Styela clava: one gene and its partners. The main gene of each other region encodes a partner of the protein of the gene in region 3 in a complex. Links are inferred from orthologs where the notes say so. Each region holds a gene or a part of one and is shown on either strand. Other genes may lie near its edges.

Region 1 (10,721 bases), on a different chromosome or scaffold from region 3:
GTGTTACCAAATATGTTATTAATCATCGAAATTGTGTATCAAACGAGGTGAAAAAATATTAAACTGCCTTTACCAAGATTGGGTTAAAATTCAAATGAATTCAAAATAGTCAAAAGGAAGAAATATAAATCACAACCATAATACCTTTTTGGTTTTGTTATACCGATCAACCTTCACACATAGGAACTTCCCATGTTTGTGCCAATGCAATCTGATGTCAGACACGTTAAACAGATTTTTGACTCGAAGTTCTTGACGTGATGGAATGGCAAGAATCGTAACACGAGCAGGAATTTCATTTCTTTCTGGAACCCAGAAAGCAAGTTTGTTTTCCGCTGGCGACCACGAAAATTCTCTGAAAACAAAAAACGCAATTCTAGGAAATTTGGAAAAACATTTCAAGACATAATTTTCAATTAAACAGCAAGTCAGATAAATTATTAAATTATGATCCAACAATGAAATGATGGGGCGAAAAGGTAAATTGAAAACCAACAATAACACAAAATTCCTTCTTTGTATAAGCAGAAAATGATTGAAGCCTCCAAACATATTAGCATTAAGCAATAGCATTAGATTTACCTACTGATAGCAATATCTATTCTCAGAAGCTATTATTTAATCCTGCCTCGAACAGATCCTCCTTAGCAACAATTAACCAGAGTTTCTCAAACTGGGTCCTTCAGCCCCAGGGGGCCACAGAGCAGATCCCTGTGGACCACAAACATAGGTCTTCACTATGTACCATTTGCAATGCATACGTTATTTCAAGACTTTTTGTTGATCCTTTTTATCAATAATTGTCAAGCATAAGATAAGTGATGGAAACACCTTATAAGCAAACCATCGTAGATATTTTCATTGCACTCACTTGATGTCTTCTATCTTCAAGCTTTTTTTATCGAGCAGTCCAAACGACTAAACAAATAAAATGTGAAAACAAAATTAATGGCACTAGTCTTTACGCATTCACTATTAATAATGGGCTACTTTAATCTAGTGATTTGGGTTATTTCTCCATTTTATCTATGTGTTAAAAGTGAAAAATGTGAAAACAAAACTAATGACACTGATCTTTCCGCATTCACTATCAATAATTGGGTACTTTAATCTGGTTATTTGGGTTATTTCTTTAATTTGGCTTTGTGTTAAAATTTATCCATTTTTCATTTTCATATTTATGAAATGACACTATAAAATAACAACAAAAATCTTACTGGAGTTTCATAAACACTCAAAACTCCGCTAGATTTCCTGGCAAAAAATTTTCCACTGTTACTCCATCTGTAAAAAATAACAAAGTTGAATACCTGCTTTAGCAAAAATCTGGACATTGTTGGTAATTTTAGGGTACTCCTGTAGTGTGTGTACCAGGTAAGGGTTAGGCCATAATTTACTAGGATTTTCCTTTTCTAAGTTCTATTACGAGTTCGGGGACTGTCCGTGTTAGCCAAGGGAATATAACCACTACCCATAGTTTTCAGTACCTTTACACAACTTGATGTAAAGTAGGCGAATAAAATTAGTTACCTCCATATTGGTATGCAATCTTCTGGAGCGCCAATTTTGTAGTTCCCAAACTCATTTGTGTAAATCAATCTTATAATTTTTCTCCAATCAAAAGAGAAATGAAAATAAAAACCATATGTGCTACGGTCAATGTTGCACGTTTGAGAGCTATAACAGTCACACATAGTTAAATTGTAACGTTTTGTCTTGATGAAATCTGCCTTTGTATGAAAGTTAAAAAAATTTACGGAGTTTAAAAAACTAGGGCAAAAACACTATATCCAGTGAATAAAACCCACTTGAAAATTGGCCATTGCCTGTCTTCTTCTCCAGACATATCCGCATGGAAAGCTCTTTTCCTTGCACCAGTAAAAATATCCCATATAACAATAGCTTGTGGTTCTTCGGTAGTACGACCAGCTTGCATTGGACTGAAGGTTACCAAATACCTAGAAACAAATTTGCGAGATGGAAATTCTATGATAATTTACAGATGGAAAACAGCTTGCGACGTCCAGATAAGAATTTTCCAAGAAAAAAAAAAACTTTCACAAAAATTTTTTTGTCTGGCGTGTACACTGACTGTAGATGAGTGTGGTGTGTTCACAGTCGACAGAAAACTGAAAGCACATCGAAGATCTTTAACCTAAATAATATAAGTCTTAATAAAGAAGACTCTGTTTTACAGCATACGATCTCACCTCTCACATGGAGAAAAATCGATAAGATGAACTCCTTGATGAGCAAAACGCTGAATCTGTTTGAAATTTTCGCCTCCCCAAAGTGCGATGCCTTTTTGATGAAAAGTAGCGAGGTATGTTCCTTGTGGTGACCAACGAGTATATGTCTCAGTCCATCTCTAAAAATATAATATCCTGATTAATATATTGATTATTTATTTCATATGACGCTTATTTGTGCCACTGATAATTAATGACATGTAAATAGATGCTGTTGTTGGGATGTCGAAAATCATTTCGATCCGGCATCACTCACCTCCCAATTCTGGGTAAGGTGGTGGGCATGAGATTTGAATTCGAAAACTAATTTTTCAATGGAAGTTCTGAATAATGAACAGGAGAAACTTGAAAGAGAGGATTGAAAGTAATTAAGCACACAAATTAATTTTATCAACAAAACGTTTATTGCTCAGAGTTAGCCTTTATTAAAATTTCAAACCTTTCTTTCTTCGAGTAATGCTGGTTCAGTATGAGTGTTTAAAAATATTGCTGTTTTATCTCCTCCCTCATATATGATACTGAACTGATCGTTGCAATCCTCTTCTTCAAGATAATAATGGAGATTTCCCTGAAGAAAAATAACACACAAAATTGAGTGAGCAATTTCAAGGTATGGAAACATCAAATTTTATATGGAAACAGACAAAGTCTATACTCACGAAAAGGAGAATACGGAGATGGAAAATATATCATCAAGTTCAACAAACAGTGATAAATAAAATCATACCATATCTTTAAATTCTTGTTTTTCTGCTGATTTTTGAGTAACTTCAATGTTGTCAAACCTGAAATTTTCAAGGCATAACATATCAGACCAATAGATATCACATTTTATACATTATCAACGTCGAGAAGGTCACTTTTCGAGATCACAGTAGGTACAGATAAAACATAGTTAACATCCAAAATAGTTTTCAAAATCAACGTTCAGCATAAATTTGGCTCTAAAAAATCGAAATTATTCAGAACACCATAAACCATTTTCCGTTTAAGACCTGTAACATAAATGTTGCTGCAATTTCAACTAGAACGCTGGTTCAATGACATCACTGTGAAAAATTTAGACACATAAATTTCGCCTCAAAATTTTCTAGTGTAATTTGAAACAAATGGAATAACATACTTTTCTATATCATTAAATAAATTAACTTTGAATGTATGAGCTTTGTCAAGCTTGTATCCATCAGCCTTTTTCACTGCTTCTAATGCATCCTCGGGTCTAGTGTATTCAATAAATATGTATCTGAACAAAGAAAATGATGAATTTCATTCAATAAAATGAGAGGGATGAAGAGAGCATGCAAGAATGAAAACGACCAAGATCAAAATTAATTAAAAATAATTTGAATACATTAAAATGATCGCAACAGCTTTTACCTATTCATATCATAAGCCTATTTATGATGTCTTCTTTTAATAATAAAAAATGTATATAATTAAGAACTTCAAAGTTTGCTTAAAATCAACATAGCGATTACTTACCCTTTTGTTTGTCCATTCTGTTGTGGAAAATGTTCGGACTGGATTGGTCCAAACTTGGAGAAAATTTTTGTTAAAACAGACTTGAGTTTTTCAAGTCTACTTTCACCAACGACAGGTATATTGTCAACAACAATTACAGATTCACATCCATCTGCTTCTTTTGGCTCCTTTCTCAGAATGTCTCCCAGTAATTCTGAATATATAAGTTGTATATAAATAATATATGCTCAATTTTATAAAAAAGTATATAATATATATGTATAATATATTCTAAGAGGTATTCCAACGAGATACATCAAATTTGTCTTTACTGTCAGTTTTGGTAGCATCAACACAGCAGATAGGTTATCAGAGCTAGGCTGCAAATTTGTTGTTTGATCCCAAATAGATCATTTCAGTGATTCATTTCAAGTGTGCATAGGAAGTTAACCTCTGAATGTTGCAGCTTAAAAATAAGTTGATCGCAAAGTGGATAAACCATCCCGTAAATTCAAATATTTTTAAAAAGATACCATGGACACAGGCCATCAGAAGACGTTGGATTGTTTGACATTTTAAAATAAATTCCAAAATTTATAATATTGAAAAATAGGATAGGATTTACATATTTATCCCGGGGGCTGGAGGGAGAGGGAGCTGAGGGCCTCCGGTTATCATTCCATGTCAGGTATGAGATTAGTTATTTGTTTTCGATAGCATGGCTTAGATGGTGGAGGAAGCCATAACCAACCAGCAGTACGTGAACCACCCTACGGCGGCGAGGAGTCCAGCAATCCTCTTGCACATAACTATCTCCTAGATGTCAATACAGCACACTATCCGAATTCCAAGAATTTTCCTCCATTTGGTTCAATAAAACAAACACTCCATGTCTCTCACAAAAGAGGGGCGTCTGGCACGACGACGGTGAAATTTCCCATAGTTCCGTCATTCCTGCATTTTAGTTTTGGCAATTTCCTGTGGTTCTCGCATTTCAGTGCATTTCCCGTTTCCCGCATTTTAGGGTTGCCCACACAGCCACGCCATATGACAATAAAAAAGAACAGTGTAAACATTCTGCAGTTCTATCAGAAACTTTCATGCAGTTGCAGAGTTCCCTGAATTAGAGTGGGAGTGGTGACTCTTCTACGACGTATGGGCCGGGGCCACGACCCATCGAATTGGGAATCGGCCCATCAAGTTGTGTAAAGGGACTATTCACTTGGCTAACACAGTCAGTCCCCGAACTCATATTAGAACTATAATGTAAAAAATATGAACAAAATTTTGTAATAACCCTAACCTGGTACACATACTACAGGAGTATTCTATCCTGTTGCTTGGTATTTTGCTTTATTTTTATTTTTATATAAAGGCCCATCGTAAGAAAAAAATTTGGAGTCTCGTGAAGTACACGCCGCAAGCACTTGTAATTGGCCTGGCTCAACAATTTTTGCATATGTCATTCCTAACCCTCACTGACTACGTCATCCAAAAATTACATCACTGCATAGTCGCAGTGACGTAATAAGGCCCTCCAAAGTAAACGTGTGGTCGTGCAGACAATCATCCGAAATTGTGCAATCTACTCTCTCGTTTTCTCGCCGTAACGATAACGATAAGAGAGAGATCGCTGGGGTTAGTGAGTTCATTATAGTCGGCACAGATGACATTTAGAACGATTGTAGTTATAATTTAGCAAGCTCTATGTCGCGATTGTTACGTCGCAGTGATGTAATTTTTGGGTGACGTACTTAGGTGAGGGTTAGGAATATTGTATGCAAAAATCGTTATGCTACGCCCGGTAGAAGTACTTGACGGCGTGTACTTCACCAGACCCAAAATTTGGTAGCATCTCACAATTTTTTTCGGTTCGAATATTGACAATTTTGTAAAAATTGCAAATTTTGGTAAGATAATTGAACTTTTCCTGATGGGCCCATGTCAGCATGTGGCCAAATTAGATGGACCGTGGCCCCGGCCCATAGAAAAGTCACCACTCCTGTGGCTGAATTACCAAGTCTGCAAGTTAACGTGTTGCAGAAACCTGACTGCTTGAGTTAATTTAACTGCATTCTGGCATTAGCAAATGAAAAAAAAGCAGTAAATACTGAAATAAAGCACATTCTGACATTATCAAAACCCCCAAATTGTGCAATAAGGATCACTCCCATACCTTCATCGCTGATATCCTCTTCATAATCCTCTGGATCGCTGAAGTCTGGCTCTTTCTCAAAGTCGTTTGACAATCCATCCCCATTTTGATTTTTCTGTCCTCTCTTCCTTCCTTTAACATCTTCCCACTGCTCTTCCTCGTCCATTTCATTTATATTACGCGTCATTACACATTACAAACTTCCTAATGAGAATTTATGAATAATATTGCGAAAACACGGCAATGAAACTAGAAATCAAAGATCCACCCACAAAAGCAGCCACGCAGCATGAGAATATCTGACAAGAAACACATGCTCCTGGACTCAGAAATTTAGCGCCCTCTGGCGCAAAACTGAGATGAGCGCCAAATATTCCTTTTGTGATAAATATTCTGACCGTTTTGTGTTTACGTATTAGTTCTCAAGACGACAAAGCAGCCAATTAATTTCATGCTATTTTTATGTCTCAAATAAGGGAAAAACTATCAATCTGTATGAACTTGGTTCAATCCCTGGACAAATCTGGCAAGGACTGTCTGTCCGTATAAGGACCGAAGAACCCAGATGCGAAAGCATGCGAATCAGATTTGCAAAAAGTAGCTTTTTTTATGCATCGTTCACATACTTTGGAACTCGGGATCTTTTACATAATAGTGGGTATGGGGAACTAACTCTGATGACCCAATTAGATGACCGCATGGTCGTATCACTCCCCAGCAACTTTGAGTGTTTTTCAATGTTTCAATGCTTGTTTTCTGGTTGACGAAACAATAACCCTTACTCTATTAATCTTTTCTATGCTACTGTAACAGATTCAAAAATATTTCTACGAATATATTTATATCCATAAAAACTGGAATCGAGAATGTTCAGATGAAGTAGCATTGACTACAGGGTATCTAGTGATTTCAGGTTTCGATTCAAAATACATTTAGGAAACCACCGATTTCTGTACTTTCAAATGTTGAGGACCCTCAGTTTTTCAGCCTCTGTTGTTTTTTGTCTTCCTTTTATCTACCGTTAAGGAGGATTTCATTATAAACTCACCTAAACGAAGTCAAATACAACGCGCTAGTCCTATATCATTAGAAAAGATTCTTCGAGGAGTGATTTTCTGTACTGTTTTTAAAAACAGTAGAGGCTGTTTCGATAAATAGTGGGATAACCAATAGGCTACTGAAAAACGAGTTCGATTCAAACAAAATGGCACATATGGATTGTTCAATCAAAACTAAGTAATTATATTACTTTCAACCAACGACTAACGCTTCCAACAAACAAACAAAAAATATATATATATACTAAAAATGTTCGGACCTCCTGAAGTATGCGCACCAAGATGGCGCACAACCTGAACTCAGGTTGTGTACCAAGTTAGAGTTCAGGTTATGCGACATCTTGGTGCGCGTACATCAGGAGTACCAACTGTTCGTTATTGATTTGCCAAACTCCGCTTGCCACGCAAATGCGGATTTTTCATTTATCTCACGTGATACGCATATATGTATGTAATCCGATGTGTTTCAACCATTAGTCAATTCTCATATGACATACGATTTTTTACGATAACATAAAGATCTAACTTGTTTGTCCATTATATAAACGAGTTGTTAGTGTTATAAATACAGATGCGCAAAACCCAAAATTCCCACATTCTTATTACCATCGGCTATTCTCCTCCCATATTTTATACGCGAGCTAGTAATATTATTTTGCAAAAATATTTTTTTAAAAACAAGTTGTGTGCTATATTTGAAACGTCTAGGGTTAACACTGCCCAACAGTTGTGTCAAAGCGTCCATCACAAAACCAGCAGTTTGGTCACAACATAAAACCCTCATTTTATAATATTTGAAAACTTATTCAAAATTGCATAACACCAAAAATAAGGCAAAATAACTACAACAAAAGATACAATACTCGTGAAAACATGGAGATGTAGTAAAGTAAGAATATTTATATATATACTAAGCTATAAAATATATTTAACTTTGCCACTAAACCAATAATGTTTGCATCATTATCTAAATCTGGAAAGATATAGAAATATTTGAGGCATAAAGAACTAAAATGATCTTTCAATTTCATGGGGTATTTTCATTTCACATAATATGTATAGGCAGACATTATCTTGTGAATGCGTCCAGTTTGCTACACATATAACATATTCTATCTGTGATTGCAATGGACGAATTACATGTTTGTGCAAGACCCTCTGTGTCAACAGTAAAAACAGTGGAATTTCCTTATAATTTTTCGCAGTCTAGAAAACATTCATTCTCTTCATCCTGTTCAATCACCAATTCTATCCTAGGAATCTTGGAGCCTGCACATTTATCTTGATCAAACATATCTTCATTCTGAGAACAGAAGCAGTTATGAATAAAAAAAAAAAGTGAAACAAAATTAACATTAAGTCTTTCTGCTACTTGGATGTGGCTCATATAGAAATATAAGATTCATATTACCAAGCAATGAAACAATATTAACATTAAGTTTTTCTGCTACTTGAATGTGGCTCATATAGAAATATAAGATTCACATTATCAAGCTATACGGCAAGCACGCAATAATTTGTGTTATTGACAAGAGCGAAGCTATACATTATCAAAGGCGGCCATTCTACATAAATTCTGTTACAATGCTCACTGCTCACCTGGCATATTTCGTCATTGGACGATCTTTTAACTTTTGTTTTGGATTTATTCGAAAAGCTTCTCTTGATTCTAGATAAAAACTGTTTCCGTAAATTTGGATTAGTTATTTGGTCTCTCAAAACAGGATATTGATCCATTGCTAATGTGACAGCATGAGAAATCCTTGTATCATGTGCATCTTTAATACCAATTGCTTCAACTATATCTAATACAGTGTCTTTGTATGGACGTTCAGCACTGGTCAACCATCGACCAGAAGCTAAAGTCCCAACTTCAGGATACAATTTGTAAAGATCACTTAAATATGCTTCCATATTACCAAACTTGAGCTGATCTTTGTTGCGTTGTTTGTTTGCGGTAATAGCCGATTTTACACGCCGTCGAATTATATGCTGCACGTTAAATTCATGTATGTATTGTCGCAATGCTGTGAACATGTCCAAAACAAGCAACACAATATCCTCGATTCTAAAATCTTGTAAATCATGGATTCCAATTTCTTTCACCAAAGAGTTTATAGTTTTAGTCAATATGCTATAATCACTTGATTTACCACCTTGGACCTTTTCTAACATATTGAAAGCATTTGCAGGGTCCGCTGTGGGTTTTACTTTCTCCAAAACTTCAGAGTAGCGAGAACGAAGCTTTTCTATATTAGCATCAGTCAATTCTTTTATATCCTTTTCCTTGGCCTCTTCATCAATATTATTATTCTCATTTATGTAGTCCGAAGTAAGAAAACGTAATGTTCCTTCATCATTGATTATTTGTAACGCAGCATTGTCGCCTTCAATGAAATTCAATTCATCATTTTCAGATTCAATCATAGCTTCGGTTCACTCTCATCTTATATACTCACAATATTGAGAAACATTATGCTATCTTTAAAAGAAAAGAACATGAAAACAAATCATTTCAGACATGCTTTACAAAAATCATGGAAGAATTTACATGTCTGCGCTAATACATTTGCATTAACTTATAATTATGAATTCTACTTTTTATTGTTACTTTGTTAGTATATCCATATTATGGCAGTATATTCCACTGGTATACTGTTTTATTAAAATCTACTTAGGCCATAATCCTCAAAAGATAAACTTAGACCTTCAATACTAATGTTTAAATTCAATCTAATTCTTTCTTACAAGCAAAACACAGTTCTGTAAGATCAGTCATTAAATGATAATGATAGTTTGACATCTTGAACTATATGTTTTTCAGGAGCTTGCTTATGCGCAAGATACAAAAATCCTATACTGCTAAGGGCACTAATAAGAAAAATAACATCAAACCACCTATGATAGAATTGAAATTGGAGTTCCCCCAAAACCTGAGTTATGATTTCTCGATATGAAGCAGGCATATTCATTCTCATTAGTAAAACAGAAGAAACAAAATACATTCCCATGATTTGAGCAAGCCCCATAACAATCACATTTGAAGATTTACTGCTCGAAATCGCATAGAAAAACTTTGTAAGGGTTATAAGAAGACCCCTAATTGATGTGACTATCATAATACCAACTAATATAAAAGAAACGTGTTGACTCCAGAATGACACGTCGACATCAAAGCCGAGATAATGAACTAATATTTCAAATCCCTTCGTTATTGGGTCCTTTTTACCAACTCTGTTAAAAATAATATTAATAATACACATGAATATTTTCCACATGCAATACAGAGAGAAGAAGTAACCTAAAACATTGAAGTACATTCCCTTGAAAGTTTTTGAATATTTAATCCGTTCCTTCGTGGCATGTAAATCAACAGTTTCTAGAAACAGCTGTCTGCTTAATTCTTCATGAGCAATTACTTCTTGTTGAAGTAACGAAACGTTTTCGTTTCCAGGTGAAGAAATTGGAGAAGCCACATTACGAATTCGTGCCCAAATTCCACTTTGTGGAACATTTTCATTAGCATTTCTTGAAGAATTATGATACTTTGCGATTGCAATCCTTTTTTTCTTGCTTATTACCATTTCATTCGTTTGCATCAACTTTCGTTCAATAAGCTGAATATCAGAATCTGTGACTTGACGAAGGAAATAGGAAGAGTACGTATATGGGCAATTAACAGCACCAAACCCGGATAGTAATGCCATCACAGTGACACCAATAACACCAACTCTGCTTATTACTTGTTCAATTGACAAAATACCATGCTGAGCACTCAGAATTGGAAATGGATCACCA
Region 2 (10,721 bases), on a different chromosome or scaffold from region 3:
TGAAAACTCCAAAAATGTGATTTTCTAAAAACCTGAAAATGTGACCTTGGTTATCATCCGAGTGAAATCAAAGTAGCTTATGTCATATTTTTCATAAATGGACTTTTTTGAATCTGTCATTATGGACCAGGGGACATCTTCTTGCCTGGGTTTCAAAGTTGTACCAGTTATAGTTTTGATTTCAGGTAGCGCCTTAGCCCTTATGTCTATTTTTGGGCGCTCCAGAAGTATATGTACCAATATGGAGGTAACTAATTTTGTTTGCCTACTTCACATCATCAAGTTGTGTAAAGGGACTGAAACCTATAGACAAGGGGTATATTAACTTGGTTAACACAGACAGTGTCGGAACTCATAATATAACTAAAATGTGCCATCTGCATAAGCATACTTGGATGGGTACTCCCGTATTATGTGTACCAGGTTAGGGTTAGGGCATAATGTTATTTCGATTTTCCTAATTTTAGTTCGAGTTCGGTGATTGTCTGTGTTAGCCAGGTGAATATACCCCATGTCCATAGTTTTCAGTCCCTTGACACAACTTGATGTGAAGTGGGCTAACAAAATTAGCTACCTCCATATTGGTACACACAATTCTAAAGCGCGCAAAAATGTGGTGTTCCCAAAACCTTAAAATTTGACAATATGCGAATTTGATTCTGCTCTGGCGATATACATCCATAATAAACTCCCATGATATCCCATTTCAAACTTACTTTGGCAGTTTTATCTTTGCTTGCTGTAATCAACATTGTTTGATCAGTGTTGAACTGCATGTCTTTTATCAATGCAGTATGTTCCTTGATTGAATGAAGTTGCTCGCCAGTCTGTGTAAAGGATATTCAAATGTAGGCGTATATAGGGTGTCCATAAAGTCTTGAAAAAGGGAATTTATCGATACTATATGTTGTTTTGGCCCTCACAGATGTATCAAATGAAGTAAAAGTACTTGAACAATTTATTAAAAACAACAAATCTGGTTATGATATATTGAGAACTTATTTCATAACAAAATTGAAATTGTAAAGGAACTTGACGGACACCTTTTGTACTAGCAAAGATTCAGAAAATTCAGTAATTTTGAATTATAACTGACATGCATGCAGAAAAATTTATTTGAAATGGCAAGCGAATTATTGTGAAAAAGTGGTTTGTTTCAGATTCGGCTTTTCCAAAAAGGGAACTATGATATCAAATTGAATATTTCAATGATTGTCAGTGATAATCTATTAATAAACTACTGGTATTAAACAATTCTTAAATGGGTACATCGGCTTGTAAAATGAACATTTCAATCTTTGAGAGAAGCGGAGTTGAGGTGATGTAACGTTCTGTCGGAGCTGGAGCCTAGCTACTAGAAACTGCAGTGGCTCCTAACCTCCTCCGTATTTCTCACATTTATCATTTTCTAACACTCCCTACAAATAAAAATAAATCTATCCTTCTAAGCTCTTAATTTCTGAATTCAATTTCCAATATTAATTCATAAGTTTTAAATTTCAGATTAATTTTAAAATTTGCACTTATGTTTATAGTACTGGTCATATCAAAAAACGAACTAATAATAAGCCAGAACTGGAGCCCATTATTGAAGCATTAATCACTGTGGAACGAAAAAAAATATATCTCTGTAGCAACTTGCCTTGATATCCCAATGAGCCAACGTTCCATCGTCATGTCCTGTTATAATATATTCATCAAGAGGTCCCCATAATGAACACATAGGTTTTGATATAGATTTGGTATCCATTGTGAATTGTAATGTAGGTTCGGCATCAGCTGGGTAAGATAGATATTTTTTATTATTACTCACTGGATGATTGAAAAAATTGATAGGCATAGATATTTATTTTCATCTCTTTGACAAAGATAAATTTACATATAATGTATCAATGTGTTTGCTTGTGGTTTTAATTCTATCAAATATCTTTTTGTTTTCAAGTCAAGATCCCAATTTATTCTGAGCCTTATTCTGGGTTCTGTTTTCAAGGGTAACCCTGAATATAATACATGGTACTCCCGTAGTATGTGTACCCGGTTAGAGTTAAGCCATAATTTTATTCCGATCCTCCTTATTTTAGTTATATTATTTAGTTATATTTACATATAAGGTATCAATGTGTTTGCTTGTGGTTTTAATTCTATCAAATATCTTTTTGTTTTCAAGTAAGATCCCAATTTATTCTGAGCCTTATTCTGGGTTCTGTTTTCAAGGGTAACCCTGAATATAATACATGGTACTCCTGTAGTATGTGTACCCGGTTAGAGTTAAGCCATCATTTTATTCCGATCCTCCTTATTTTAGTTATATTACGAGTTCGGGGACTGTCTGTGTTAGCCAAGTGAATATAATATACTCCCTGCCCATAGGTTTCAGTCCCATTACACAACTTGATGTAAAGTAGGCAAACAGAACTAGTTACCTCTATATTGGTACACATATTTCTGGAGCGCCTAATAAATAAAAATTCTACCTGGTTGCCTGATATCATGCACTGATACCATAGGTTCATGCTTCATCTGTCTATCTGTTGTATATGCAACAAGATTTCCACAATAACTGAAATTTGCGCTTCTGCATGATGATTTGGTTTGATATGTGTTCACACAGACACCTGGTAAATAAGAAAATAGTTACAATCTGATTTTATCTGATAAACCTAAATTGATATAGAGACAAGAATTTAGCCATTCAAGAGATAAATATAGAAGAAGGCATCAGATTAAAACAAACAATGATGGAATTATCCAATTTTTGATACTCTGACACTATACACAGACCAAGTGTGCTAAAACTAAAATAAAATCAGATGGAGAATCATTTAAAACACAAAAAAGCTGTGTGTAATATCACACTTGAAATGAGATTTGAACACCGTGCTTTGAGCGAACTTACAAAAAAACTTTCTCTTCAGCACAGAGTTATATTGAAAGTATGCTAAGCATTAGAAACAAATTTCCACCCTTTTTCAATATGAATTAGTACCAGTAATGGAACAGAACCTGTGTTAATTTATGTATTTGTATTGAATGATAGTAAATGGTTGTATCGTTACCACCAAAACTTCTGATTCTGTTATTTTCTCTTTATTTATATAGGCCCCATTATGTTTTCTGGTTTGACAAAATTTTTATCTCCATCTCTCTCATTGACCATTTTCAATACCTGTTTCACAATCCCATAATTTACACGACTGGTCAGCAGCTCCAGTTAGGACTCTGGTTGAATCCCAGTTCACATCAACTGCCCAGACTGTACCTCGATGACCATCATATGATCCTAACCTAGAATAGAACAAAATTTGAAATTTCAAGAGTGGCAAAATTATATCGTTAATAATTTGAATAGGATTTACATATTTATCCAGGGGGAGAGGAAAGCCGATAAGACAAATTAATCATATGGCGAACCATGGGCTCCCGTCCGGTGACCAGTCCAGTTAAGGGATTGGTTAGCTAGTTATTTGTTTTCAAATGAATGGACTTGATTGCAGAGAAAGCCGTAACCAACCAACAGCGTGAACCGCCCTACAAGAGCGATGAGTCTAGCAATATCCTCGCACATAACTAACCCCACATGGGATTCGAACCTGCAAGACCACGCAGGATAATCAGAGGTGCAGTGGCTTAGCACGATGTGCCACACTGTCGTGATATATTCTGTTCTACTTGTGGAATTTAGCTGAACTGATAATTCAATTCAAAACACATGAATGTAGTTCCAAGGTGAGATTGGATTTCAAAAGCTTTTACATTATCTGACCGCAAGGTGACATAAGACAGGCAATAAAATACAATTGGATTTATATGACATTTAGGCTTAGATAGGGTTGTCCTGGCACTGGCAAATATCTCAGTAATGCAGGAAACTAAGCGTATACAAACCGTTGTACATCATCTCACCCCATGTCAACCGTCTCACTGAGAATGTAATGAATTGGGTAGGCAGGCAATGCCAAAAAGCTTCTGATCCTTCACAAATAATAGCTTCTTAAATATCGATAGCTATCAGTGGCTGCCGCATAGGGACTTTATTCGAAACGAAAGATGTGAACAAGCATCACATAAACAAGTAACAAACACTTGATTAAAAAATGTCATCGAAATGATGTAATATTTAAATGAGGTGAGCAAACATGAACTACTTCTTTTATCAATACCTTTCCATCTAAATTTTGTACACTTTAAACCCTACCTAAGGTTTTGGTTGCTCTCCCGATTCTATAATCAGTTTTACTTATTTTATTTTTATCAATTATTCTATCATCTGCTGATTATGGAGTCGAAATAAACTTATAAACAAGTTACCTTTCACCATTTATTGTGAACCAGACGTTAGGTGAAGCATCTTTTGCTGCTGTGAATAATAAATCTCCCTCTCTGTTATATTTAATTTGAGTGATTGCACGCTCATGGCCTTGAAGAATTAAAGGTTTCTGAAATATATTATAGAAGAACTTTGACATCAAGTTGAGTCAAGGCGATATCCTTTAGTTAAGCCCAATTAGGAATTCAGAATGAAGCTACCATGTATAGGTGAAGAATAGGATAAGTAGTATAAGTATATATATTTTGATTTTCCCGCAAAAATAATCATACACTAAACACAAACAATGAACACACAGAAGATTGGAAAACTGGCAAAACCTCTATAAAGGTTTAATATATGTAAATATACATGCGCCAGTTTACCCACTTAAGATTGACTTATTCATCTTGAAGGAGAAGAAAGCCGATAAGGCAATAAGACAGCTTAACCCTGTTATTTCGGGATGCGAACTAACTACAATATGAATATGGCTCTAATATGATTGGTCAGTAAGAGTTAACATTCTTTATGTACACGTCTTATTATGGACTTCACTCAAAACAAAACCAATAAGACATTTTCGCGCCTTTTTCAAGCATGATATAGGCTTGTCCGATTGTTTTTGCACCCGGGTTGTGCGTCACTCCTTTTTGGCATATTTCCAATTTTACGAGTTTTATATCTGTAAATATTTGAAAGCTAAGAAACATACAAAGGAATACGTTATTACTTGAAAGAAAGTAATTTGCGCGGCCGAGCGCCCATTTTCCTCGCGTAAACACGCACTAATAATTACCCGCACAATAATAAACAAACAAGAACTGCGTTGACTTCACAAATATACCGCTTCGTTACTCGGCAGCTATTTGCGCTACACCATTGCCTGTGATATCATTTTGTTAGGAAGACAAACACCAAAACGGCTATAACGCTTGCGAGAGAGTGCCGTTATCATAAGTAAGGTTCAACGGCCATAAAGGAGAGAGGTTCGAATGTTTGTTTACTATCGTCGATGAATTTTCTCACGTACGCAAAATTTCGTACATGGAGCGGTCCATTAGCGACCTCTTGCGTATAGAAAACAATAATACGATTCAAACAAGCCTTCAATGGCCTTTCAAGCCATATTGGTTAGGTGACAAATGCTAATTAAAAATATTTTAAAAATTTGACTAGGGAATGGCGGGTTAGGAAGGTTAATCATATGGCGAACCTAGGCCTCTCGTCCGGTTACCAGTCCAGGTCGGGTATGGGATTAGTTAGCCAGTTATTAGCATGGACTTGATACTGGAATTAACTTGAGCCATTGAAAAAATTTGGGGTCTAGTATAGTTTGGTACCACAAGTACTTCCAGTGGGCGTAGCATAATGAATTTTGCATTTGTTATTCCTAACCCCCACCTGACTATGCTATGCAAAAATTACGTCACTAGGACGTCACCATCACGTGATATGGCTTGCCAAAGTATAATTACAATCGCCCGAAATGGCATCTGCACCGCCGATAACGAACTCGCTAACGCCGACGATCTCTCTTCTATGGTGATCGTTGTGACGCAAAAACGAGAGAACTAGCTTGTTCGATTTCGGGTGATCAGCTGTGCGTTTTGGACGACCCTCTCCATACTTTGGTGGGTCTTATTACGCCACTGTGACGTCCAAATGACGGAATTTTTTGGTGACGTAGTCAGGTGGGGGTTAGGATTAACATATGCAAAAATTGTGGAGCCAGGCCATCTAGAAGTGCATGTGGTACTAAATAATACCTGACCCAAAATTTGCACTATAACAGTACAGTGATATTTAAAAGTATGCTAAAACAAAAAATGATGCACAGGCCGGCAGAAAGATGGACAAATAATAAAAACTCACCATATCCCAGTCCACTTAATTTCAAACGCTAGAAAATCTTCAGAAATAAAATCCAATAACACACTGAGACGACTTTATGGACAAAGAGAAATGCGATAGAAGCCGTTCGAATGCTTGCACTCAAGGGCCAGTTGCTGAACTGTAGGTATAATTACTAGAACTGTCAGATAGTAGAAGCCACAGAGCTGAAGACAACATGTGGCGAACAGTAAGCTGAGCTAAACACGAGTTAGATCTCAACGAAATAATTCGCGTACTCGAGTTGGCGCTGTTGAGCAAAAATGGATTTGAAGTTACGATGCAAATTATTTATTTATTTATGGCTCTCCGATAATTGACTACTAATGTTATGACTGGGATTCCACCAAGTAGCACAAAACTAATCTTATATATTTTGACCCTTTTTTGAATGGATTTTGTATTCTAGAACATAGTGAAACACGAGATAGATTATCAATGAAATTCTTGCTCCTCCCACGATTTTGTTTTACAACTGATATATATTTTCCGGTTTGACCCTCTCCGGGAATGCGTAACACGTATGCAACAACATCTTGTAAACTAGCTATGACGCACATTTTCTGCCGCAGAATGCTTTTTTCTACTCAACGTACTACTGCGATAATTAGTTGGTTCGATGCAACTGCTATTTTGCATTGCCGCTGCCTGATGACGCTGCAAGCGTCTTTAGCAAGATGCGGTCTCCGGTGCTCGTGTCAGGCTGGTGAACCATGGTCATATTTTAAGCAACTATACTAATTAATATACACCGAATTCGTCATATCTGTGCACGGGGTAAAAGAATGGTGTTTACAGAGGCTTTACAAACCGATTGCAACCTCGAACGATTTATGTGGTTTCATGAGGGGTGGTTTAAAATTAGTGTTGCATAGGTGCAACATCTTCCCTCAGAAGTGGATTTCGGTTGTGAAATTAGCTAAGATTCATCTGTATAGTTTCGTCAATTATATTGGCTTATTGAGCAGATAACGTAGTTTATGAGTTTCCTGTGTCACATAAGTTACAATCAGGATCATTAGGATGCAGTATATGAGAATTTGCCGTATAGGAAAAAATTTGGGTTCCGATAATTCTTTTGTAAACAGAAGATTTAGGAGGCGTGACATAAAGTATGCACAAGTGTTATGATTCAGATTTATAAACAAATGGAATCGAGGTATATTAGCCATAAATACGGGGTTAGAATGATAGAGAAGTGTCTCAGATTGATTCAAATTTGTATTTTCAGCGATCTAGCAGAACAATTGCAAATATGCCAGAGGGGAGATTTTTTGCAGAAATTGCGTTGGATTAGCGCGTATTTCTAATGCCACACTTTCAGACAAAGGAGCAATTGAGACTTACAATTATGAATATGTCGATGACGCTGATTTTGATAAAACACCTAATTTTCCAGAACGATATTTATGTAGCTAAGATTTTGAGCCTAAAAAATCAGACCATTTCAGCATTTTGACTGTTGGAATTTATGTGGACAGACAATAGCTATCTAAAAACGAATCTAGAGTTAAAACTTAGTCGTGTTTTGAAAGTCCGAGTGCGTCGCCGTTCAGCCAGATAAACATAAAAGCTAATTCGATGTTCGGGAGAGCACAGTTTTTCTCTGCCCCGAATTTTTGACAACACCATAAAGGTGTTGCAATCTACTCATAAACCAATCTATATTAATTGGTATAGAATTGGCCTGAACACAAATGCTGCAGAAAACTACGACTGGCCGTCTTTTAGACTGGGGGCAGGGTCGGTCGATAAATTCAAACGAGAGTCTGAAGTAAAAAGAGGAAACAAACCGTCCAAAAATATCGAAATCGTAAACCTGTAAATAAACACACAGATTGCTAACGATTTTTCTGCTACCAAAAAATTTGGTTTCCTATTTTTTCGCTGCGTAGCGTAATCAAAATGACTTTCACGCTAAAAATTCTTTCTCCGATAAAATACATTACAGCAAGTAAATGCAAAATTATTTCAATGTAAACGCTTGATTTTCTATATTCTTGCATTGATATATATGGAAAATCAAAGTTTTCGAATAATTTAAAAAATATAGGTAAATGAAAGTGTCAAGGGACAACTCATATGCATTTTCTAAATATTTTGACTTGAGAAACTACCAAGAGTGCAAAAACATGATCTATATTAACATTTGTTTACATTTTATTGCGACTTTTAATCATAATTGTAGTTTTGAAATGAGCCATGAAATAAGTTTGACAATACCATTTATATTTTCAACCATTGTGGTATACATACCGGTCATGTTATAAGGTATTGCAGATTGAACAACATACATGTGATATTTTAGAATTAGTCCTTTCTGGGCAGAAGTTGCACTAGCGCAACATCCAGTAAATCCCCCAGGGAATCGGACTGTCGAAAATTTTCAAAAATTAATCATATATGACCTAAAAGTATTGCTTTCCCCAAATATCAAATTTTCCCACTGCTAAAAGATAAAGGGGCCCGGAGAGGGTTAAGATTCCAAACCGGAATACTCAAATACCCGTATTAAATACAAAGCTTTCAAAACATTCTATGCAATAAAGGTATTTAAATGCATTATGAAGAATTATTCCGAATTAAATTGTACAGTATTGACCTGAGCTGCTTTAGGACTCTTTAGACATTTTCATAGGAATAGTAGCACTTCCCAGTCCTGACTCATAAGATTAACGCAATCAAGAAACAATTATTTTTTTAGTGCTAGGGTGCTTTATTATAATACTTATCTCCGCACCTTAAAGTAGTTAGGCAAATATAATTATAAATAGGATTCAATGGATATTTGTTAATATATTTTTATGTTAAGGTTGCCATTCAACATACAGACCGTGCTGCCTTCGAGACATGATATATACTTAAACAAATCAATACCGTTAAATAGAATTTTCAATCAGAAAAGGCACAATTGCGTACTATTGTTCGCAGTGCTCAATAAAATATTGTTAATAATATGTCTCCAACTTCTAGTAATTAAAGGTATGGAATATCAAATGAAATCTTTGTAGGAAAAAGAACGACTTTGTGGTACAGTATACGATATTGATATCTGAAAATCTCCTAAGCATATGCTTTGATGCAGCTTCACAATTTCATATTGGCAAAGTTGTTGGTCGCATTATACAGATCAAATATAATTGTTGTGTACAATTTTTGTCACAGTTGACCTCATGTCATTACTAAGCATCGTGTTTCCCCGAAAATGAGACAGAGACTCATTCCAATTTTCGTTTAAAAAATAGCACTAGGCTTTCTTTTAATTGGTGTGGGGGGGGGGGGGTTATTTTCATTTATCATAAAACAAAATTACAAAGTAGGGAATTACCAGATTTTCAAATATATATATTAATCATTTAAAACGTGTAGGAAAGATTTCTTGTCATCAACTAGGTCTTATTTTAAGGGGAGGGCTTATATTGAAATCAATTTTAAAATTCAGATTATTTTCGAGGTGACACGGTACTAAGTGCAAAGTCGAATCAAAAGATATTATACTATAATAAAACTGCGAGGAAAAGTGAGAAATCATACATATATACAGATCACACTAAAGGAATCGTTTTGGCCGGTCTGCCTGCAGTTTCCAGCCATCTTAAAATGTACGAATGTTTTCTCCTGTAATTAGGTGTGGCATTTCGAACGAGGGGAAGCCCGAATTGGTCCGTAAAACGAACTTTCTTTTGTGACGCACCCTCTGTATCAACAGGTGATTTGGCGACCTTGACCCTTCTTTGTTGCTGGATCTTCGAAGTTTGTGGAAACGCAGGAATAACCCGAAGTACAGGCGCCATCTTACGCGATTGAGCTCCGGGATCGTGTATTGTGAAACATGGCTGGTATGGATATACATTGGGAGCATCATCTGGATTAAATACCGGTAGCCTGCGATTCCATCTGACGTGGTTTTCGATGATTTTAAATGTAGTATTTGCTGGACTTTTAGCCATGCTCATTGCAGTTGCATTGCGCTCGAATACCGGTGTTCTAGAAACCGTGCCGTCAGTTTTTCTTGCATTCACTGCACTCGGCGAAAGAGCTGGATATCTGTATGGTTTACGTATTTGAGTAGTGTGTTTGTAATGTATATTGGCTAGTGAAAATGGGTGCCCATGTGCGGTTGACGTGCGTGGTCTTGGAGAATTGCTCTTTTGCATGAGTCTATAAAAGTTGCTTCCGTGTTGTTGTTTATCGTTGCCAGATGTTTTTGTGACTATTGTAGTGGCGAGAGGAACAGGTGTTCCGTTGTCGTGATCAGCGGGTTTTCTCGCTGGCAATGTAACGGGATTGTTCTCGTTCAGTCTGGCAACCCTATTCACATCGTCGTCTGATCCAAGGGTAATAACTCCACCCCTACTAGGAGTTAAGCAGAGAAGCTGTTGCGTGCTGCTTACGACGGAAGGGTAGGAATAATCTTGAAGACGATTGCTCCGTAGTAAGCCGTTGTGTATGGTCGATCTGAAAATAAAATTAGAAATTGATAAGTTGCTTTAAAAAAATGTATAAACCAGATAAAAGGCAC
Region 3 (10,721 bases):
AGTTGGAAACAGAGATGAAAATATGGTTCCAATCGCAATTTGAATGCCCTTTTAATACAAAGACTATTGGACATAGGCAGAAGTACAAATTAGGATGGACATATGGCCCCGATCATTATTTGAATGGCCTCTTGGTTGGGGGAATGTATATACAGAAGAATAAAAATAGGAATGATTATATAGTCTCCATCACCATTTGAGTGATCTCCCATAGTGGGAGCAAAATTTATGGGTTGCAAAGAGTGCACAAAGTACTCCCACAAAGTACTATTTTAGACTTTTAATTCTAAACACAATTATTAAAATTATTGCAAAACATAAATCTCACAATTTTGAGAGAATACAACTTTGATCTAGGACCTGAGAAGGGGCGCGATTGCATAACAATGTCGACTTATCAGGGGTCGCGGAAAATTTCAATATATTGAGCTTGAAAGTTTGGAAAGCTCTGCTTTAAATGTTTACATATATCTAAGCCTGAAATGAGAAATTGCAATAAATGTGCCAAGATATATAATATAATATTTCTAAGAATGAAACTCGCATCTCACTTATCGGTAGATTTACGTCCACGATTTTGAATAATTTCATTCAGTTTCTTCAACACCACCTTGTGGTCAATCTCAGTATCCTTTTTGAACAAAACAATTGGTCCACCATGCTTCCCTTTTCCTGTTTGTTTGACCTGGCATGATTTATTTAAAAAAAATTAAAAAGGCAATCTTTAGAACCACAAAAAATTTGGGGACTCATTTAGTAATGGTTATTTTCGTTAGCAATAACCAATAACTTGCTTAAGAAAAACAAGATATCAGCATACTATCTACAATGACAAACACTTCCACGTTCTTGTTTAGATTTAACTGGGGCCTTATGTCGAACAAGAATTTTTTGACTTGATTGTATATATATAATATTAATGATACGATGCTGATTTCCATATTTAAAGTAAAAGAAAAGCCAATAAGACTTTATCATTTCTATGTCAAATAAATGACATCTTTTGTTTGGTTGATAGATCAGAGAATTGTCCAGATTAATGGACTTGATGTAGAAGAAAGCAATGACTGACCAGCAGTTGCACAAACCACACCCTACAGTGGTACAATCTGATAACCCTAACCTGGTACACATACTGCGTTCAGGTTGTGTGCCATCTTGGTGCACATACTTCGGGAGCACAAGAAGGGCCCCCTAGAAGTATGTGTACCAATATGGAGGTAACTAATTTTGTTTGCCTACTTTACAGCAAGTTGTGTAAAGGGACTGAAACCTATGAACAGGGGGTATAATCATTCGGCTAACACAGACAGTCCCCGAATTCGTAACAGACAAAAAATACAAAAAGTCGGAATAAAATTATGGCCTAACCCTAACCTGGAACACACACTACGGGCGTACTGTAAGAAAACAAGCAATACTGGTCCCCCACAAGATTCGAAACCGGGTAAATATGGTCTGATGCCAGAGGTATTTGTAGCATTCTTACCTTCTCCCAGCCCTCCTCTTCCTCCTCCTCGTCCTCACTCTTTTTCCCACTCTTTCCCTCTTTTTGTTCTCTCTTTCGTTTAGGTTTATCAGTTTCTTCTTTACTCTCTGTACCAGGTCTGAATAGAAGGATTTTCCATATTTCGATTAAAAAACATGGACACACACAAAATTATAAGACATTTCCTTGTAATATATGAACAATGATCGGTGCTCCAGAAGTGTGTGTACCAATATGAAGGCAACTAGTTTTGTTCGCCTACTTTACATCAAGTTGTGTAAAGGGACTGAAACCTATGGGCAGGGCATATTCACTTGGCTAACACAGACAGTCCCCGAACTTGTAATACAACTAAAATAAAGAAAATTAGAATAAAACTATGGTAAAAACCTGGTACACATACTACGGGAGTACCCAATGATCTACACAAGTATTCCCCGATACTTGGAGAGTACTATAGTGAATTTTGAGACAGAATACCGCAAAAAGCTCAAGATACGAGCCCCCTGGAACAGTAAAATAAAACTTTATTGTATTTCTGTCAACTAGTATTTTCCCAGATGGCTAAGCATGACCTGTGATGTCATCATTTTCAGATGAATGATCATGACCAAGCTGTGAAGGTGAAGTAGCCATGTGCTTTCTGTGCTTGAGAGCTCATTCCTGTTGGTGTATCTTGAGAGTTATTACTTTGGTTATGTTTATTGTGATTTTCTAATTGAACGTTTTTACCGAATTAACAAAAACAACTTGATGAGCACCTCACATAATAGTTTAGGCAAGCAATGGCATTAACAATCTCTACAAAAAAAGTTAGCTCTTTATATATTAGTGGCTGCTTGGACAAAACCTTGCCTGATAAAATGTAAAAAAGCCACAAAAATGATGATAAATTAGCTTCTAAAAACCTGTTATTTTGTTGAATGAAATAGACTTACATAGACTTTTTAATAATTTTGAAACATTTTGAAAATGGAAATTTAAAATGATGAGATTGACTGATATTTCCTACAACTTACTTTTTTTTCAAGAAATACTCAGCAGTGAGTTGCCTTCCACCAGTTTCAGCGTCAGAATCAGAAGACTCATCCTCAGAAGAACTCATCCAGATCTAAATGGGAGATCATGATTAATAAGGAAGGATAAAACAATTGTTTTATTTCATTATTACCCCTGCGCCTATTATCATACCCTAAGCCATAACAGCTAGATTGTGCAAAACGAAAAATGCGATTCACAAAGCTGTCACTTGCTGAGCGGCTAGCAATTTAATTAAGGAAAGTGCAGAGCAGACACTAATTAATTAGTAAAAACGGGCAATTAAAGGTTGGGCAATTAGAAAGCAGTTTGAAGAATTGACCCATTAAAAGATACAGAATAATATCAATTGCTAAATTGTGCACTGGTCAACAAGGGGGGGGGGGGGGGGGGATTGGGAGGGGGAGTTTCAAAGGAGGCGGTTTTTGAGAGTCTTGATTGCATCATTCATAAACAGAGCTGGTCATTTAGACCTGATATCAATTTATTTGTTGCCAAGAATACACAATCAAGACCGATAATAACAATTATCGTAGCATTCAACACAAAGATGTGATTTTATATTTATACTTAAAGTGAGTATGTCGTTTCAAGGCTTATTTATGATTGTGTTTCTTTATATTTAGGCGTAACGTTTAATAATTAATTTTTAAATACATTTTAAGATGAAAACTTAAGACTTTGTTCCGCCATAACATTTAATTTCTGTGCCAGGATTTAGCGACCATTCCCCAAAAACTTACATCACTGTCATCATCATCATCATCTCCTCCTTTTGGTTCTTTCTTCAACCAACTAGTTGCTGCCTTGGCAGGGGCTTTCAGGAATCCAGTGGGTTGGACTTCATCTAAAAAACATGGCAAAGTACATATTTGTCATATATTTTACAACAAACTTCAAGACTAATGCAAAAGCAGAACCATCACTATGTGCACACTTTTCGATGATGTCATCGCACACGAACGAATCCCCTGGAACCCACAGATATTTGCTGAAATGTACAGCAATTGGAAATTTTTTTTACATTTTAATTATGTTTATTGAGTACACGTTTAAAAAGTTAATGTTGTATAGGTACACATATTGTTAATATTTTGGAATACAAATTAAATTACCATAGTTGAAGTACCACGACTACCAACATAATACCCTACTGTTGCGATTCCTGTTTGGCCCAGACTTACCATCAGAACTTTCTGGCTCTGAAGGTTCCTCTTCTTTATGATGTTCAACAGCATCTGGGTTTTCCCTATATTCCTTCATTTCCTTCTCGAAATCCCGAATGTAACGACGGTATTTCTGTCTCATTGTACTTAATGATTTTGAGTTGACTTTACTCATCTTCTTACGAGCCTCCTTGTCTTCCCATAGCTGGTAAAAGAGAAGAATTTGGTGCGAATAATAATATTGCATCTTTGTGAATGAAGAAATGCCGGCGCTCCAGCCATTTATATACTTGAAATGTGGTATATTATGCTAAGTATGTCATTGCAACACTGATTATCCTGTGTGTGTTTACAGGTTCGAATTTTGTGGGGAATGACAATACAGTGGCTTTAATCCAATACAGAATTCGTCACATGATTAAGCTGTCTTATTGGCTTTCCTCTCCTCAGAGATGAATATAAAAATATAAATAAACGAATCAAACCTCATTGATATGGTCCTCAGTTTCAACCAAATTCCTGATGTAGAAAGGAGGAATTCCTTCTTTTGCAATCACATTTTTTGCTTTCACATATTGTTTGCAGAGATTGTCAAAATCATCCAGAACCTGAAAAAAGAAAACAAGAATATCGGTCAAAGACTGAAGACTTATTGATCGAAAGTTAGGGGATCCCCCAAAACAGCGCTATTACTCCATAGTGACAGCTTGTGTCCTATCACTAATTAATTAATAACTCGTTAATTATACAACATAATTCATCCAAAATCAATAGGCTTCTGGTCCGGCATATGATGAATGCACATGCAAAATCTGGAGCAGATTCAATCTCGCTTTCGTGAGATATCGCCCGCATCTAACAGACAGACAAACAGACAAATACCTATCAACATACTTACCGATTAAAATCGATAAGTAATTACTAAACACAACTTGTGACCTAGTAGTGAGAGTGACTTAAATAAACTACCTCGCAGGTTATTAACATCTTGAATTCATACTCATGACCTCACGGAAAGAATCGGGTAGGCATGCAGGGACGCAAGATTCTGGCAATTTCAAAAATAGTGTGTAGCACCTTACATACCAGTGACTTTTTTGTGAGCATGCGCTATTTAGCAAATACAGCCACATTTTTGTTTGTTTTATAATTTACTCAAAGCAAAGTCACACTTTTTCAGTGAAGTAAAGCAAACTCAACCCCTCTAAGACGCACTATGTCCACCAATAATATGAAATTGACACAAAGTTGCTGAGCTTCAATAAAGAACACGAGATGAGAAACATAATTTGTGACACAGTACTAAACCAAACGCAGCAGGTGAAAATAAATAATCAGTTAAGCAATGTTTCTAATATCTATATAATATTCTGTATCGTTTACTGCTTACCGTTTGTGCATATTTATATCAGCTTTATTCATAACAAAAAAATAGAAAATGTTTCATAAAATGTTAAAAATTGAAATACCTTGACCATGTCGTTGATCTTTCTTGCATTTCTCATTGATTTGATCAAATTTTCGAGGCCTTCCCAAGATTTTTCTTTCGCACTTCGCACAACTCTCTTCTGATCTTCTTCATCATCACTCATCAGAAAAACTCTAGGAAAAGTAAAAACATTATGAGTCAGTGAAAAGCAAAAGTAAAGATACTTCCGAAGCATGTAAACAAGATGGCGGACACCGGAACGTAGTATGTGAACTAGGTCAGGCCATAATTTCACGTACAAATACCACTTGGCTAGTCCCCGAACTAGTATAGAACTAAAATGAAAAAAAATTGAAACAAAATTATTGCCTAACCCTAACCTGATACACATACTACATTCCGCTGTCCATTTGAATTTAAACCAGAATAGTGTAGTCTGACTCTCAGTTGGAACGTCTTTATTGTTATTTGAGTGAGAGTTGCATTTCCAAGTCAAAGGGGTTAGATACAGGAATTTGAATTCTTTTTTGTTAGAGTATGAGTTATAGACAATTAATGGTGATAATTTGAGGTATAAATTTGGTACTCATAAAGTATGTAAACCAGGATGGCGGACACTAGAGCGTACTATGTGTACCAGGTTATGTTAGGCCATAATTTTATTCCAATTTTCTTTATTTTAGTTCTATTATGAGTTCGGGGACTAGCCAAGTAACTCCCTTGTAGTGTTTGTACCTGAAATTATGGCCTAACCCTAACCTGGTACACATACTACGCTCCTGTGTCCGCCATCTTGGTTGACATACTTCGGGAGTACCAAACATTTTTGGTAGATCACAAAAAGTATTAACATAAGGATTCTCAGTCTATAATTAAAAAAGGCTTGCATACAACAAACTATTTGCGGGTAACATTGGAATTGTTTGGGGGTCACGCTTATGAAATTTTCAGAATTGAGAGTTCTGATTCTTCTGAATTTCATACTTCTAATGGGGATAACTGAATTTTGTGACAAACCCCAAAAGCGTTAAGTTCACTAAACATTTGAAACAGATAAGTAAAAAAGGATTGCATGTGTCATTCCAAAATACCCGTATCAGTGGCTGCTTATACAGAGCCTTGCTCAGGATGAAGGTGGCAAATCACTATATAAAAATGTAAATAGTAATGGTGGTATATAAAACTTTAATAACGAATTCCACTATACCTAGTTGACTGTGGTCTCTGTGGTGCAGGCGCCATTCCATCATCACTTGAGGACTCATCAGTATCGGAGCTCGATGCTCCGAAAAAACGAGACATATTTTCTTCTTGAAAAATGCAGCCACAAGATCACAAAAATTGTGTTATTTTGGCCAAAATTCTAACTGGAAATAGCAACAATCTATTGCAAAAAAAACAATGTGGCGAATTAAGACAACACTTTAATGAGACATGTGAAAAGTGTAGACAATGAAAAACATATCAATATCATCCCAAAATTCTAGAATGGTAAACTGTAATTCTATGCCTATTTTGATAATATGAATGCTCATGGTATATACATTAACAAGATTTGACTATGTTTCTTTGTAAAAACGTATCTTGAAATTTTAAATCATGTTTATTGATGTTCTATTGTAGATAATTGTCAAATTGAAATATTGGTCATGTTAATGAGTAGCAACAGAAGTTTAATAAGTTGAAACGAATTTTTAAACATCTAAATTATAAAGTGTATAGGTTTTCAAAATTAAAGAAAGACCTATAGTTTCATTAAAAGTCGACTTGTGGAAAAAAGCAAGCAATATTCTCCTGGTCTGTCTAATCAATATAATAAAAGATTGTAATTTTCAACGAGGTCAATAATAAGACTCGAATAACGAATGATACTGAACTGTTATCCTAATGATAATATCGATATGTTTTTCAAAAGTCATTGTCTAGTTATACAATACAAGCAAGGTGAAAATATACAGTTTGACAAACTCATATTAATTGAGTTAAATGAAGCAAAAAATAATATTTGAACTTTAACATGTCGAGCCCAAAGTGGAATATGAAAATAATGATAACTCGCCAAGATTTTTACATTGCCCAGAATGAAAAGAACTTTAGGAAAATATACACAAATAATGAACTTGATATTTAGACTGAACAATTTTTCGTTACCATAACAGACAAGGTTGTACAAAACTATCAAGTATTTGAATAAATTCAAAATTAACAACTTATATTATGAATTATAAATGATAGCTTGAGGTCTAGCAACACGTTACCTACCCAAGTTATGGTTAGGGACAGGGTTAAAAATAAATCATATTCATTGGGGATTCAAAATCCAGCGATAGACCTTATGTTGTAGTGTGGTTGAATCTAGAATTCAATACAAGTTAGTTAATTTGGAATTTACTCAAATACCTGACTTTGCTGAACATGCAGTTTTCAATTCAAACATATTATTTAAATGGCATTTCATGTCATATATAACTTAAGTGATACAGTTTAAATCTGTATAGAAAATTCATGTTCAAACTGAATTTCAAATCAGAACAGTACCCTGTCAAACTATTAGAATTTAGACTTCCCTAATTACAGTCTAAATGAGAAACGGCAGAAACCCTCTACAATTTCAAGAGTATAGAAAAAAACAGTCCACAAAACGGTACAATGTTGAGGAAAACTTATCGCCAGCCAAGAAATTGTGAAGATTTTCAACTATTTAGAAACTTCATAGGACAGCAGAACAAAAAAACGGAACATTGGACATGAAGAAACATTTAAAGTAGATACTGAAAACTAGAGCACATTGTCTTTTAGTCAGGTTCGAGCTCTATCCACGAAAATAGACATCAAATTTTGAAGCAATATTCTGGACACCATGCTATTTTCCAGATAACTAGGATTTCATGGCTTTTTGTTTTTGTCAGATTTGAGATATTCAGGGAAATAGAATAAAAAATTCTTAGTCATTTGTATAATGGTATTATTTCTCACTTTTTATGCAATTAGGATTTCATTTGCATTTATATTGGGTAAATAATTCAATGATATTGGTGGAAAATCTTGAATCACTTTCAACATATAAAAAGCATTGATGGTAAGAGGTCTAGCTACAAGTCATGGTTATCTATCCTCAGGCAAAGATAATAGTTGAATATAAATTGAAGTCAAGACTTATCTGGTGTCTCATTTGCAGGAAAGATTCACACGTTGAAATAAGAATCGTACAAATTGAGTGGTCGATTAGAGTGGTACCCCAATCAACTACTGCTCCCTTCTCAAGAGTTTTCATCTTCATCAAAGATTAAGTTAATTACAACACTTGAAATGAAAAATAACAACTTACAATTTAGTTGCCTATTCTCAATTAATAACAAAGAAAATTCACACAAAAATATGAGAAACAGAAAGCACAATAAATTGCCCTATTAAGCAAAGTAAAAATATCTACTGGGAATATAGTAGCCTTTCAAATCAATGCATTTAGTTTTTAGCCGGGCAAGACTCGACAAAAACCCAGAAAAATAAAGTGTTCCCATATATCATTTTTCTCAAAAGGATGATTTTTAATGGTAAGATGCATTTATCTCAATCATTTTGAACCACTTAAAAAGGGTTATAATTTGCTAGATTGGCCTGTACAATTAACTATACAACTACAATATATTTGTAGTTTCAACGTCTCTGGTTATTGAGTTACCTAATAAGAAAAAATACATAGACTACATGCAGCAAAGTTTTTCAAATGTCTGTCAAGTTAATGACGAAAGACGTATCGAACGTAGGGTACTTCGACATCCTCTCCAGTCTTATCGTTACAGCAGATCTCCAGAACAAGTGCTTTTTCATGAGAACGTAACTTTTTCTTCGAAACTTTCTGAACAACTTCACTTAATTTTGTAGCCAGACGCTCCTTTCTTTTACTTTGTTGCATAAAGAAGGAATAGAGCATCGCTACGTTCTGAGACAACATCGTAATTTCTAGATTATATTCCTTTTGGAAATATTCCATAAAACCACCCAGTGTCATTTCTGATTCTCCCTCCTTTGCTAATTTGATTCCGTCAATTTCAAAACGATCCCACAGTGACCACTCGGTGTCGTAATACTTCAGTTTTGGTGCAGGTAGCGGTTCTGAAAATCCGAAAAATGGCAATGCTAGATTCACGAATCCATTTTTAAAAGATTCCATTTTTTTGTGACCTTGTATTATCTTGTACAATTCAAGGCAAACTAATCCTACAACAAGAGAAGTTGTCGTTGCAATTGCCGGAATAATTTTACCAGCAATAAGCTTGCTTTTCAATCTATCTGCGGGAGCGATTTCATAATTTTCCGCTCTCAGATTTGACGCTGCTACGATGAAATCCATGTGGAAGTTGGTGTCGTCATCTTTTTCAAACTCAATCGGGACGAGTCTCAATTTCCCAAACGAGTCACGATCTGGGAAAGACGATTTCATTGAATCAAATTTGCTATCGTCCCAAGATGAGTCTTGAGATTGTGCCTGTGCTTCAGAATCTGTCACAGCAATTTTAACATTCGATTTCGGTTGAAATCTTGGAACATTAATAGTCGGTAAAATTTCCTTTGCAACTGCAGCTTTGCTGGCTCTTTCCTTGATCCCATACATCTCAGCTTTTAGTTGAGCAGCGGAATAAACATATTCAAAATGGGTTTCGTTATTCACGTCAAATTCAAGAGGATGGGGACATCTCTTAGGTCCTGACCAAAACATAGCACCAGATGTTGTTTTTTGGTCTGGTGGAAAGTTATGTAGTAATTGCGCAATATTGTTATAATACTGCTCCTGGAATCTCGTACGAGCCCATTTCACGCAATCAACGAAAGATTTCGGATATTGCGAGACAAGAGAGGAAAAAACAGACTCCAATGTAACAATAGGTTCCATTCCAGGCAGTTTCTCGGTTCGTTCAAAAAACTTTGCATCAGTAAGAAATTGATTAGCGGTCTCAGCTGGTTGTTTGAAAATCCCTTCAAATTCATCACGTGCCCATTGCAAAGTATGTTCAATCGCATTCGGGAAATTTTTCAACGTGCAAATTGGGATAGACTTTTCAGGGGGATCCTGTGAGGAAGAATAAGACTCTGTGAGAAAAGGCAGAACAACTTGGACATTTCCTTTAGTCCCGAGCGTACCAGATTCAAGCAGAGGCTTACGGTAATACACACATCTTCGATCCATATAAATTCTTGCATCAATGTTGTCCAAAGCATTTGTGACACCATCGAGACCTTCGAAGAAAGAATCGTTGTAAACTTTTTCAGTTTCTGGTCCAACTCTATTCTGATGAGCAATGATGTTAACCTGGGGGTTCATTTTCTTGACAGAAGCGGCTGCACATTCAGACTTGAGTTTCTGAACATCCCATGGTCTGAACAGAAACTGGCGATTAAGATTTGATTTCTCAATAATGTCCATGTCTGTTACAGTGATATTCCCTCCTTCTCCACATCCAAGACCCATCATAGCAAAATTTTTGAGAAGTTCGCAGCCTATGGCACCAGCGCCAACAACAAAATATTTCTGTTGACCAACGGTTTTTTGAAAATCTTTTCCAAAAACTGCGATTTGAGCGTCATATCGATCACCAAT

What was found. The genes of interacting proteins can lie anywhere in the genome.
Region 1: eukaryotic translation initiation factor 3 subunit C-like (region 3) and eukaryotic translation initiation factor 3 subunit B-like share a complex: the UniProt entries of both Caenorhabditis elegans proteins name them as parts of the eukaryotic translation initiation factor 3 (eIF-3) complex. The link is inferred for Styela clava from reciprocal best matches to the Caenorhabditis elegans genes eif-3.C and eif-3.B.
Region 2: eukaryotic translation initiation factor 3 subunit C-like (region 3) and eukaryotic translation initiation factor 3 subunit I-like share a complex: the UniProt entries of both Caenorhabditis elegans proteins name them as parts of the eukaryotic translation initiation factor 3 (eIF-3) complex. The link is inferred for Styela clava from reciprocal best matches to the Caenorhabditis elegans genes eif-3.C and eif-3.I.

What each region holds. Positions count from the first base shown.
Region 1 is NC_135262.1:9,898,520-9,909,240, reverse strand, and holds the start of eukaryotic translation initiation factor 3 subunit B-like, read right to left. Parts: upstream 6,195-10,721; 5' UTR 6,053-6,194; coding exon 5,887-6,052; intron 3,925-5,886; coding exon 3,732-3,924; intron 3,493-3,731; coding exon 3,373-3,492; intron 3,035-3,372; coding exon 2,977-3,034; intron 2,818-2,976; coding exon 2,689-2,817; intron 2,369-2,688; coding exon 2,211-2,368; intron 1,959-2,210; coding exon 1,809-1,958; intron 1,285-1,808; coding exon 1,218-1,284; intron 919-1,217; coding exon 872-918; intron 356-871; coding exon 145-355; intron 1-144. Other genes in the region: uncharacterized protein LOC120333244, read right to left, coding at 8,113-8,226, 8,523-9,350; Golgi pH regulator-like, read right to left, coding at 9,695-10,721. UniProt on the Caenorhabditis elegans protein: RNA-binding component of the eukaryotic translation initiation factor 3 (eIF-3) complex, which is involved in protein synthesis of a specialized repertoire of mRNAs and, together with other initiation factors, stimulates binding of mRNA and methionyl-tRNAi to the 40S ribosome.
Region 2 is NC_135257.1:18,322,655-18,333,375, forward strand, and holds the start of eukaryotic translation initiation factor 3 subunit I-like, read right to left. Parts: upstream 6,411-10,721; 5' UTR 6,185-6,410; coding exon 6,182-6,184; intron 4,437-6,181; coding exon 4,309-4,436; intron 3,286-4,308; coding exon 3,167-3,285; intron 2,616-3,166; coding exon 2,475-2,615; intron 1,780-2,474; coding exon 1,643-1,779; intron 828-1,642; coding exon 717-827; intron 1-716. Other genes in the region: uncharacterized protein LOC120346396, read right to left, coding at 9,745-10,657. UniProt on the Caenorhabditis elegans protein: Component of the eukaryotic translation initiation factor 3 (eIF-3) complex, which is involved in protein synthesis of a specialized repertoire of mRNAs and, together with other initiation factors, stimulates binding of mRNA and methionyl-tRNAi to the 40S ribosome.
Region 3 is NC_135250.1:3,238,032-3,248,752, forward strand, and holds the start of eukaryotic translation initiation factor 3 subunit C-like, read right to left. Parts: upstream 6,514-10,721; 5' UTR 6,425-6,513; coding exon 6,330-6,424; intron 5,296-6,329; coding exon 5,163-5,295; intron 4,302-5,162; coding exon 4,179-4,301; intron 3,899-4,178; coding exon 3,712-3,898; intron 3,375-3,711; coding exon 3,271-3,374; intron 2,601-3,270; coding exon 2,509-2,600; intron 1,608-2,508; coding exon 1,490-1,607; intron 686-1,489; coding exon 552-685; intron 1-551. Other genes in the region: ubiquitin-like modifier-activating enzyme 1, read right to left, coding at 8,862-10,721. UniProt on the Caenorhabditis elegans protein: Component of the eukaryotic translation initiation factor 3 (eIF-3) complex, which is involved in protein synthesis of a specialized repertoire of mRNAs and, together with other initiation factors, stimulates binding of mRNA and methionyl-tRNAi to the 40S ribosome.